Styela clava: one gene and its partners. The protein of the gene in region 2 purifies or fractionates together with the protein of the main gene of each other region. This does not show direct contact. Links are inferred from orthologs where the notes say so. Each region holds a gene or a part of one and is shown on either strand. Other genes may lie near its edges.

Region 1 (3,758 bases), on a different chromosome or scaffold from region 2:
CCCATTGAGATGATGTTACCCCAGGAATAGTTTTTTTCATACCAAAAATCAAAACTTTCTTCCCTGAACTATGGAATGGAATGGAATTTCGAGGGTCAATTGTCGGGTGTGGTGATCTCACGTTTCTGCGTTTTTAATAAAGGATAACATTTTTATATTTATGGAGAAGAAATTTTATAAGACGGCGTATTCATATGGCGAACCACGACCACTCGTCCGGGATATATATGTAAATCATACCCAAGGATAATTCTTTTACGCTAAAAATCAAAACTTTCTTCATTGAACCAGAGCCATTATATAACGGTTATATAATGGCTCTGATTGAACTATGGAATGTAATTTTGAGGGTCAAAGGTCGGGCAAACATCCCTATACTGCCCTATATTGACCAGTTTGTGGTGATCTCGCGTTTCTGCTATTTTAATAAAAGATAAAATTTTCTATAAGAAATTCTATAAGACGAGTGTTCGGACAGTGCAAATATGATATCGCTATCCGTTACAAACATTTGGGTTCACGCAGGCTCGAATGTGGAGATATGTTTATCAACAATCACAGATAATGCAACAGGCTCGATCAGGATAGGATAGGATGACTCGGCGGTGTGGCGCATCGTGCTAAGCGTTAGGAATACGCTCGCCACCGCATCTCTGATTACTTGGTGCAGGTAGTACTGGTACCGGTACCGGTTGTGTAGGACCGTCTCACGGAATTTTATGAGATCAGCGAACCGGTTAGCATTACATGACTTTTTGTAACAGAACCGCCTGAAAATATGACATTTGTATGATAGAACCGGCTGACACAAAATTTAAATCCCACCACTGCCTTGGGGGGGGGGGGGGTTCGCAGGTTCGAATCCCATGAAAGATGTGCGAGAGGATTGCTGGACTCGTCGCCGCCGTAGGGTGGTTCACGTAACTGCTGGTCGGTTACGGGTTCCACCACCATCATGTCCATGCTTCTGAAAACAAAATAACTGGCTAACTAATCCCATAGGTACCCGACCTGGACGTGAGGCCGTGGTTCGCCATATGATTAAGTCGTCTTATCGGCTTTCCTCTCCCCCGGGATAAATATGTAAATCCTATCCTAAATGAGGTATTTATTACTATAAAACCAATATATCCACATGCTGGTTGGTTATTTATCTCGTTACTTGAGCTATTGTTATTTGTATTTAAGAATGTGAGTAAATAAATACCATATAGACTATATATTTGAAGAATTAGCACTGCAAATTAAAAAATGGAGACTACTAATGCTCCTGTTGCTGTAATGGAAAATCCCACAACTTCAAATATTCCGACATTTTTATTGAAACTTGTTAATATGTTGAAAGATGAATCAAATCACGAATATGTGGACTGGAATGAGGTAGTCTAGATTTGTGTGATTATATATTTAATAATGTGGAATTAGAAATGTTTACATTGTAACATTTGTATAATTGCACTAAATAATTTCAGAATTTGGTAATTCAATCGTTTAATAAACTTATCTCATATTTTTATAAATTAGTATATTTTTGCTATTAGGGGTGAAATGTATTACATAATCACAGCATTAAATCAGTTTGTTATCCTCTGTAAGCTTTATGAATATTTACTGATTGCCTACAAAGTTATTTCATTGTATTTTCACTAAGCCTTACATCCCACATCATCACATATTTTCCCATTGTGACTCATGATTGGAGTGACTCGTTTTGACTTGAGACTCAAGTGTTAAAATTAGCTCATACTCTGGGGTTAATGACTCAATCATGTGTCTCTTGAGATCAAGACTCTTGGCCTGCAACTTGGTACTTGTGGACTGGCTGAATAGCACCCAGTGTTGCCATTGAAAGTCTTGTTTCTGAAATTTCAATTTCTGACTGAATAGATTAATCTATTTTTTTTTTCAGGCAGGAACATCTTTCATTGTGAAAGATCAAGTACAGTTTTCAAAAATTGTTCTACCTAAGTATTTCAAACATAATAAGTTTGCAAGTTTCGTCAGACAATTGAATATGTGTGAGTATATTTCAAGTTTTCATGGTAATAATGAAAATCAAAATTTGTACAGAATTTTGGAATAATTATTGTTGACTAAGCATGACTAACAGTTTGTTAAAGAAGTCTTGCATACGCAAAACTTTTTACTGTCTGAATTTAATGTTCTGGGAGAGTTCGGAGGTAGAGTTTGAGACAAAATTTGCATTAGCTTGGCGTGGGAGAATGTTTTTCAAGTCACAGTCATGATTTTTTCAACACAGTAATTGTAAATTTTCTTCAGCCCCTGTCATTATTGGCAATTTTTGTTTTTTCCAGTATACACTTTATGGAAATGTTAGTAGAATATGAGATCTATAAAAAAATATTGGAGTAAGTAATCAATTTTAATAATCTGTCAGATGGATTTCGCAAGATCACATCATTAACACAGAGTGGTTTGAATAATGAAAAGGAGGAGATTGAGTTTTACCATTATTTGTTCATTCGTGGTGAAGAAGTATTTCTGGAGCATATCAAGAGAAAGGTATTTATCTGTTCAATTATTTGAATTATACAATAATTTATTGTTTATATCACTATAATCTACGTTATTAATTGAGGTTTTGCGAGATTAGCTATTTCAACCTTACAATGTCTTTTCAGCGATGTCAATATGTTATCAGGTAATTACTGTGATGCGATATATTACCAGGGGCATTATCAACCATGTTTGTAGTGACACATTATTTTTATTTTACATATTTCTACAATCTACATTAATGGAAATGTAAACACTTTCAAAACCAGTTTTATAATATAAGAACTCATGAATGCATGCATGAATATTCACAATGAACAATTTTTGTGCTCTTGGACTAAATCTTGTTAACATGATTACATTACATTTGAGGCATGGCCTCTTTTATTAGGCTGCTGATTTGAATATGCAAGAACTTAATTCTATTCAAATTAGATGAAGACGAAGTTGTAGAATACCAATCTATTCATATATGTTCTTCCCTATTTTGGCAATACTTTGAATTTGAGCCTGTAGTTATCTTGTTTTTGTGTCCAGGTACCAAAACCAGAAGAATCAAATCGCCGTAACAATGAAGATGTTACCAAAGTACTCGATGATGTTAAACAAATGAAAGGCTACCAAGAAAACATAACTTCGCAGCTATCAGAATTGAAGCAGTATGTATATATATTCTAAGACAGTACTTCTCTAACTTATATATTCTAGGTTAGTTCGTCTCCAACTTATATGATCTGTGGCCCTCCTCTGAAGACTTTCATCACTTTGTGGCCCCCTACCTAGTTTTGTTTGGCCCCCTACCTAGTTTTTTTTTCAACACTAGGACTGTCCTTCTCTAACTTATATGATCTGTGGCCCTATTCCGAAGACTTTCATCCATTTGTGGCACCCTGCTCTTCAATAAAAAACCTAGTTTTGTTTTTAACAGACTTCCATCAGTTATTATATTCGCAATGTTTAATAATAAAAAGCCACCCAATAACTTTAACACCTTTTAATGATTTTCCAAAAATAATTTTTTAATTTATTAATGGGAACAAATTAATTCGTTTAATTTTTTTTCAGAGAGAATGAAGATTTGTGGCGAGAGGTTGTTAATCTACGTCATAAGCATTCACATCAACAGAAAGTTGTCAATAAGGTGATTAAAGTATTCAATAACGATAAATTTAGGATTTTCAAATTTTGTTAGATAATGAAGGAAAATAAAAACCCGAATATTTTTAGGTTTTTCACCTAAT
Region 2 (3,758 bases):
TGAACTATATCTATTTATTGCATGCCTGTAATTGAAGATGCAAGTTTCAGAATTAAAGCGGTAGGCTATTTAAACTGAGGATGAATCCAAACACCATCTCGTAAATCAAAGCGTTTCATCAAAAAGCAGTTCAACAAAGTAATTTTCAAAAACTTGTGACTTCTCATAAGTCATACCATTTATATCCTGCAAAGGTTTCCTTTGAGATTGCGTCTGCATTTCAGGGAATCGAGGTGCCATGGTCAAACAAGTCGTAGGTAGTTTATGAGGAATATAACCATTAAAGAAGTCACTTTCCAGAGCTTCCTTCGCTGAGGGTCGAGATGAGGGTTCATTGCATAGCATTCTAAAAATGAACAACAAATTTTATTGAGTATCGTTCAAAAAGTAAACTAGGAGTAACTCCAATGGTCGAATCCAATTTGTTCAATTTAAAAGCTACTAAAACTACATAAGATACTAAAACTACCTTTTTATTAAAGTCTTGGCAGCTGGAGAAACATGATGAGGAATTCTGTATTCATTTTTCTTTATTCTGCTGTAAGTTTCTTTCAATGTTGAGGTTTCAAATGGAGGTTTACCAACCAGCAGTGTGTATCTGAAAAAGGATAATCTTTCCGATATATGGTACGAAAAAATTACAATTCACAAGACAAACACAACACAAAGAGGAAAATCAGAAAAGTTGCCTTAACTTCAAATGAGGTTTAAAACAAGCGACATGAAATGCCATATGGGCAAAGTAGAATGCGAGTAAAAAATGCATCAGAACATTCTCTAATCAGGCTTTGATCATGTGATAATACGGGAATTTTAGTGAACAACCCAATGAGATACTCTCTGAAATTAAAATTATTGATCATGAAAATGTGTGAACTTACAATACACAACCAAGAGACCATGTGTCAACTTCGAAGCTGTGTCCCTTCTTTCCTAACACTTCAGGTGCAATGTAATTGGGTGTACCACACAATGTTTTCTTTCTTTCCCCTTCAAAATCAACTTTGGTTGCCAAGCCAAAATCACCAATTTTCACTTCCATCTCATTGTTTAGAAAAAGATTTCCCAACTGGAAAAATTGAATGTACATTAAATTATAAAAGATAAATGAAGAGATAGTATGTATACTGAAATTTTTGATCCAGATTATATGACAATTTTCGGCAATCAATATATTTTCTTCTGTACACTATTCCGCTATCATAATCTACCACCTTTTTTAATAAAAAAAAAAAACATATCCGTAAATTAGTCAAGTCTTGAGAGCTAATTTCATTATACATAATAGGTAATAATAATAAAATGGTTACTTTTATATCTCGGTGTATAATTTTTTTGTCATGTAGATATACAACTCCAAGCAGAATTTGTTTCATATAGTATTTTGTCTCTGGTTCGGTAAGAGCTTTTCGTCGCTTGTACAATTCCATAAGAGACTGTAGAAAGAAATAATAGAATTTTGAGAGATAAAAAAATGTTATGTTATCTGCACTGCGGAACCACATAATGACAGCCGCTGTTGTTGTTCAAGTCAAAGTTTAAATGTGTTATTTTAATAAATTGTTTTCGATTCATCCAAAATTGTTGACAGCTAGAAACATTGCTGTTTCATGTAGTGAACATAGCGTATCGGTACAATGACGCGAGTAAATTTTGACTAATCTGAACAGGTACAATATTTCAAATGACAAAGGTTTTAATTTAGATAGATGAGGAAATGAGAGTAAAATAAGATTTGAACAAAACTCAAATTATACCCTTCTTTTGCACAATTCCAAGACAATATAAACAAAATCTTTATCTTCAAAAAATCCATGGAAACCAACAACATGATCATGATTGAGGCTACGATGAAGACTAATTTCTTGAGTCATTTTTTCTTTCTGATGAGGCTTCACAAGAAGTGCCTAAAGTATGGAAAATAGCAAAATTGAGTATTTGAACAAATAATATTGGAAAGTGACAAAATGAAATAGTATTAGAGAAACCTAGTTTACAATTTCATTCTGGACTAAAAGATAACTGAACGGTAAATTATGGATTCATGATATCTGCCAAATTTTGAAATGAAATTTCATGAAAATGCATTTAGTTTTCATGAACCTAAATTATTACATGACAGTTCATAAACAATTTCTTTAAAACTTGTTTTACTAAACTCTGTGTAAACCATAATGCACTTGCCAAAATTGAATATTATTCTCAACGAAATATGAGAAAATACGATACATAATTTAATATATTGAGATGTGAAGAGTAGCTTATTTTAACCTTAGGAACAATTTTTCCAGCTAACGTTTCTTTTGTTTCATGATCTGTTATTTCAAAACATTTAGCGAATCCTCCTTTTCCCAGAAATCTTCCGCGAGTATAACGTTTTCCAGAGTTGTCATCACACAGAATCTCAGGGATCTCCTTCATCGGAATATCCTTCTTAGACATGTTGGTGCTGGTAACTTCTTCAAATGATTGAACGCGGAGAAAATTCAGATGTCAATAAAATATTTAGTTAATTCTGACAAGAGAAAAACACTAATTACTGAAATATTACTAACAAGACGGTAAAAAGTATTACTGCGTACAAGGGCCCAATGATCATCCCTAAAGCTTATTGTTTCATACTTTACTTTTGATGGATATTTTATTTTTGATTTAACAGGTGTCAACCTTCTGTTATTTTGAAGGAATAAGTGCTTAGTTAAAAATGAAATTTACCGCGGTTGGCCACATCAGGAAATAATTTTGGATTGATGCCTATGGACAGATAGCTGGATAGATGAAAAATAACGATGGAAGAAGTTGTCATTCACAAAACGCATTTAATGACTATTCTATCCAAATATTTTTAATCCTGGCATACTGAATATCAATTGAAAGAAGTTATCTGACCACTTCCAAATAGATCATTCAGTCATTAATCAGTTTTACAAACACCATGAAAGTTGATATTTCATTCTGAAAGCTACATAAGATGATCACATTTCTGATTTCTGGATTTAGTCAATCACATGACTTTGGGCAAAATTTTGCTATTTCTTCAGTCAGTCTGTCTTTAATGACTAACCAGTATTGCGGCAGGTCGGTCCAAACACTGAAACATTAAACACAGTCTCGATAGGTCCGTGGATGTTCAACTCCACCTTATTCTGCTATTGCAAAATTTCTAAATAATCCACACATGATATTTTAAGGACATAGATAAATGAATAATAGCATCCTAGTTACGATCTGCTTGGAGATGAGTCGCGACACTGTTGCGTTTCAAATCTTTCCAAACTGGCGCTTATACAAGCCAGTACCGAAAACTAACAAACAATCTCGGAGGCGACTTCAACAATTTGAAATTCAACAATTTAGAAGTGTTCCCGTTTCAAAAATAAAATGTAAAAATCTCCGGTAACAAAGCCCTTATATTGAATTACACAAAAAATAACCGCTGTTCTTGTAATTACAGGTGCAAAAGCAATTCTCTAATACACACATACGATAAATTTAACTAATTTTGATAAGATTTGATTCAAAATACACAACAGTGAGCCCTGGATATCGAGTCTTTTTCATCTTTTTCATATTACCTTTTGCCAAGTAAATACACGCCGAACACAGGCATTTAAATCTCATTTGAAACTCGCTGTTCCAGCGACGGCGGTTTCTGATTGGTGTACAAAGAATGACGTTTCTCTTTCTCATTCTCTCATATTAACATTTGGCGATTCTCTCGTCTCGTCGTGGGTTGTCAGAATCCAAATTGACTAGTC
Region 3 (3,758 bases), on a different chromosome or scaffold from region 2:
TTGAATTTGCTTGTTCAATCTTTATTTTAAAAGATGTATTTGTGCAAATCAGATTCGATTTGTTCATACCTCAATTGTATTGATGGAAATGAATAGGTTTGATATTTCACTTAGATTTAATTTTTTTTGTTGTGAAACCCTCCTGTGAATTCATGCTTGTTTACCAATATATCTGGCAACAGTGATTAGAGATATTATTGTTCAGCTGATTTTGATTCATTTTTCTGGCAATTGTGGCTATTTTGTTCCATCAATTGCCGGACTTCTGGCGCTGAGTTAAACATGGATATATGTAATTTAGTAATCTGTGAACGTTTAGGATGCCTTAGGACAGGGATGGCGAACCTTTATCAATGAATGGGTCAAAAATCATATTTTTATCGCGGAACAGAAGAGAGTGGGTCACAGATATTTAATCAATGTTTGTATCTATAAGAAACATCTGAAACAAATCATAATACAACGGTTCTGTTAATGTTGGTGTAGTTTAGTGCTTTACTTTACAGCACTTTATCAGGAACTTTTTATGGCACTCGATCAAGGGTACGAAAACACACATGTGAATTACGTTGAGGATGATGCGGCAAATTATTTTACGGTTCCAAAGAGTTTGAAGGGAATTCCACTCTGATAGTGCTATAGTTTTATATCAGCTTTAACCATATTAAAAGCACTTTTACACTGCCCCATTGTTATTCCAGATTTCTAGGTTTTATTTCAAGTCTGAAAGATTTTGTATTCTCAACGGCATTGTAGGCGAGAAACTAATAAAATGCAAAGTGGCATCTAGTTCTCGTACAACCCCTAAAACAGTCTGCAGATGCACTTCTGAAGAGACAAGACGTTGCGAGAAATGAACATCAATTCGATTGTTATGTCATAAACGATGTCAGAGCCAATAGCTGAATAACGGCACACAACGGTGCAGACATGCGTCCAAGATTGGGGGTTTTGAATATTATCATAACGGAAATTAACAATTTGAATATAAGCGATCGCAGCCCTGACTGCCCAACTGACGGTACATTATAATAGTTTAGGTATTGTTAGATTAATTTAAGGCCGATTTTAATATTTTTTATCACTGATATGTTAGCATTTTTCTTATTTTATTCGTGCCTTGGCGGGTCACGAATAAAACGCGGTGGGTCACTTTGTGACCCGCGGGTCAGTGGTTCGCCATCCCTGCCTTAGGATGTCAGAACGTCAGCCCACACTCGTGTGACGCTATCCCACTAATGGGGATGGCAGCCCACACTCGTGTGACGCTAGCCCACACCCGTTTTTGTCAGGCCATACTAGGGGTAACTGGGCCGTGCTTGGTATTGTATTTGCGTTGTGTATATCAGATATGGTCTCTATATTGTCAAGAGTCACCAAGTTTTTATGTAATAACATTTACAAAGTCAGTAAAATAGTTGGTTAACCCGTTGACGTCAGCCTGAGCAGGTGTGGGCTGCGGTAACCTTGGTTATCAAAGTGATGAGTGGATGTTCAATTACAGAATCCAGAATTTAGACATTCACCTTACCCCACCTTACTCAGTTACTGGAATCACATTTTGACATTCGTCTACTTTATCAGGTGTCCACACTTTGATCTGCCAGTTTTCAGTAATGCTATTACTGTATTATTTACGGTACAGTATTATTGGTATATTTCCAGAACTCACTACAAATTTCATATCTGTTCTCTGTTGTAATGAGACATTTTTAATTCAGTCAAATCATTCGGTACTGCAGTAAGTCTATCTTCAGATCTAGCCCATTCTTGTTCAGTTAAATAAATCGCTTCTATTTTATTCTAATTGTGCAACTCCTCCTCCTTTTTGCATTCAAATTGTATGTTTTTCTTTCGCGATTCTTTTTTTGAGGTGTTCAGTTTAGTTTTGTGAACATTATACACCTTGATTAGTAATTCTGGAATAAGCATTCTCACTAGTCACTTGCTCATATTCAAATGCAGAAATGACTGGAGTCATATGAGGGATTCTGAGATTCTAGTGCAGTACTGCTCCTGTGGATACCGAACATCTTACTCCATTTCTGATATTCAAGATCAGAGGTCGGGCAGTCATTTATCTGTTCATTGACCCACAGTAGAGTTCAGAACTTTGTATAACTTTGAACTGTAGCATTGCATAGTCAGATAGTAGTTACTCTAAAAGCTATAAATTTATTGCTTAAAGAATAAAGATTTTGAATTTGTTCTGAAGTTATTAAGGTAATTCTGTATTTGTTATTAATGGATTTGAATCACTCTACAAAAATAAAGACACCTATTTTGACTCATGAATAACTCCAGTAATCTACTGCGAACATCAACTTCTGTTAATGCAATGATTGTCGCTCTGGAACCAGTGGAGTTTATACCCTATGGTCGCCATGCTATTTCTAATCATCCAGGTGAGCGATAATATCACAGTATTACTATGTCCCTCTTAGTGTTCTATCAATTTGCTCCTACCAAAAATTCACTATTACCTACCTTAAAAATAAGAAGGGTGGAAAAAAGAAAATGTTTTGTATGGTTTGAGAATGCACAAGAAATAGCATTTTGCAAATACAGTACCGGTAGCTGACCAATAAGTGAAAACAGAAATAGGTAAATGAGAGTTTTTTCTTCGCAAATTGCTTTAAATTTTTCAGGCCATCAGTGTTTGTCATATTGGTGACATCGAACAGTAATCAGTAATTTATTTTATCACCATATAAGAAATACACACTGTACATACAGAACGAGATAAGAAAAGAGAGGAAAATAATGCATTTCAGGGTAAAAAGGGATGCGATAAACCAGCATTGGTTATCGAGCAGCGACACCTATGAATAGTCTAACATTGGGTCATACAAGTTTAAAAAACAAACTCAATATAGTACTAAAGTGAGGAGTCGGACGCCAAAATACTGACATTGGCATAAATATGTTTGAAAAGACCGGATATTTCCGGACTCACTAAGCAAACGACTCCGAACGCCGACTGGCGTTGAGAACTTAATGTAAACAACCTTATGCCACCTACTTCTGGATTATTTGAAAAAAAATTTGATATCCTGTTTTGTTTTATTTTCACAGGCCTTTCTTGTCTTCACTTGCATCAGTCACAAGCTCCTCTAAGATTAGATCGAAGTTTAATCGGTTCTTTCAGCAAAGTTAGCTTGGATGACAGGAATAGGGTATAAATTTTCATATGGATGTATATAATTACGGATGCCATAGTTGTGAATGTTTTTATTGAGATTACAATAATATGTATGTGTATAGGTAGGCCTACTGCATCGGTGTCTTACGTGAATATATATAATCATTGCCTAATTTATATTTATTTAATACACATGTAAATGTAATATATTTGGGATATTTTCAGGTTTCTGAGAGATGGCACCTGCGGAAATATGCAAATGCTGAAGAGGAATTATATATTTGTAAAAATACTATAGTATGGAGTAGAGGATACAAAGTCATCAGTACATATACAATTGATTCACCTGTAATTCATGTAAGATATAATTCCTTCTAATTCTAGCTTTAAGTGGATGTCTTGGATGCAAATTGAATAGGCTTCTACTTTTTTTTTCTTGGATGATATTCATTCAATCATTTTGAACAACCTATTAACTGGAATGTTGAAATAACCTGTCAATATGGTGTGATAGGTACTGCACTGTACCTTTATGGTCAGTTAGCACTGTTAGCAGTTTTGTTTTTTAGTCTGGTATCGTTTTTCACTGAATCCTGAATGCCAAAATCAAAGGATC

What was found.
Region 1: the proteins of serine/threonine-protein kinase PLK1-like (region 2) and heat shock factor protein-like purify together in Homo sapiens (affinity purification with western blotting; 3 studies listed by BioGRID and IntAct, with this or other methods). This does not show direct contact. The link is inferred for Styela clava from reciprocal best matches to the Homo sapiens genes PLK1 and HSF1.
Region 3: the proteins of serine/threonine-protein kinase PLK1-like (region 2) and anaphase-promoting complex subunit 1-like purify together in Homo sapiens (affinity purification with mass spectrometry; 3 studies listed by BioGRID and IntAct, with this or other methods). This does not show direct contact. The link is inferred for Styela clava from reciprocal best matches to the Homo sapiens genes PLK1 and ANAPC1.

The regions. Positions count from the first base shown.
Region 1 is NC_135263.1:6,652,199-6,655,956, forward strand, and holds the start of heat shock factor protein-like, read left to right. Parts: upstream 1-1,167; 5' UTR 1,168-1,251; coding exon 1,252-1,380; intron 1,381-1,909; coding exon 1,910-2,018; intron 2,019-2,398; coding exon 2,399-2,523; intron 2,524-3,054; coding exon 3,055-3,176; intron 3,177-3,582; coding exon 3,583-3,658; intron 3,659-3,758. UniProt on the Homo sapiens protein: Functions as a stress-inducible and DNA-binding transcription factor that plays a central role in the transcriptional activation of the heat shock response (HSR), leading to the expression of a large class of molecular chaperones, heat shock proteins (HSPs), that protect cells from cellular insult damage.
Region 2 is NC_135260.1:16,482,287-16,486,044, forward strand, and holds the start of serine/threonine-protein kinase PLK1-like, read right to left. Parts: upstream 2,537-3,758; 5' UTR 2,443-2,536; coding exon 2,272-2,442; intron 1,908-2,271; coding exon 1,758-1,907; intron 1,437-1,757; coding exon 1,311-1,436; intron 1,070-1,310; coding exon 882-1,069; intron 599-881; coding exon 470-598; intron 347-469; coding exon 177-346; intron 1-176. UniProt on the Homo sapiens protein: Serine/threonine-protein kinase that performs several important functions throughout M phase of the cell cycle, including the regulation of centrosome maturation and spindle assembly, the removal of cohesins from chromosome arms, the inactivation of anaphase-promoting complex/cyclosome (APC/C) inhibitors, and the regulation of mitotic exit and cytokinesis.
Region 3 is NC_135259.1:2,115,066-2,118,823, forward strand, and holds the start of anaphase-promoting complex subunit 1-like, read left to right. Parts: upstream 1-1,552; 5' UTR 1,553-2,290; coding exon 2,291-2,405; intron 2,406-3,075; coding exon 3,076-3,176; intron 3,177-3,367; coding exon 3,368-3,499; intron 3,500-3,758. UniProt on the Homo sapiens protein: Component of the anaphase promoting complex/cyclosome (APC/C), a cell cycle-regulated E3 ubiquitin ligase that controls progression through mitosis and the G1 phase of the cell cycle.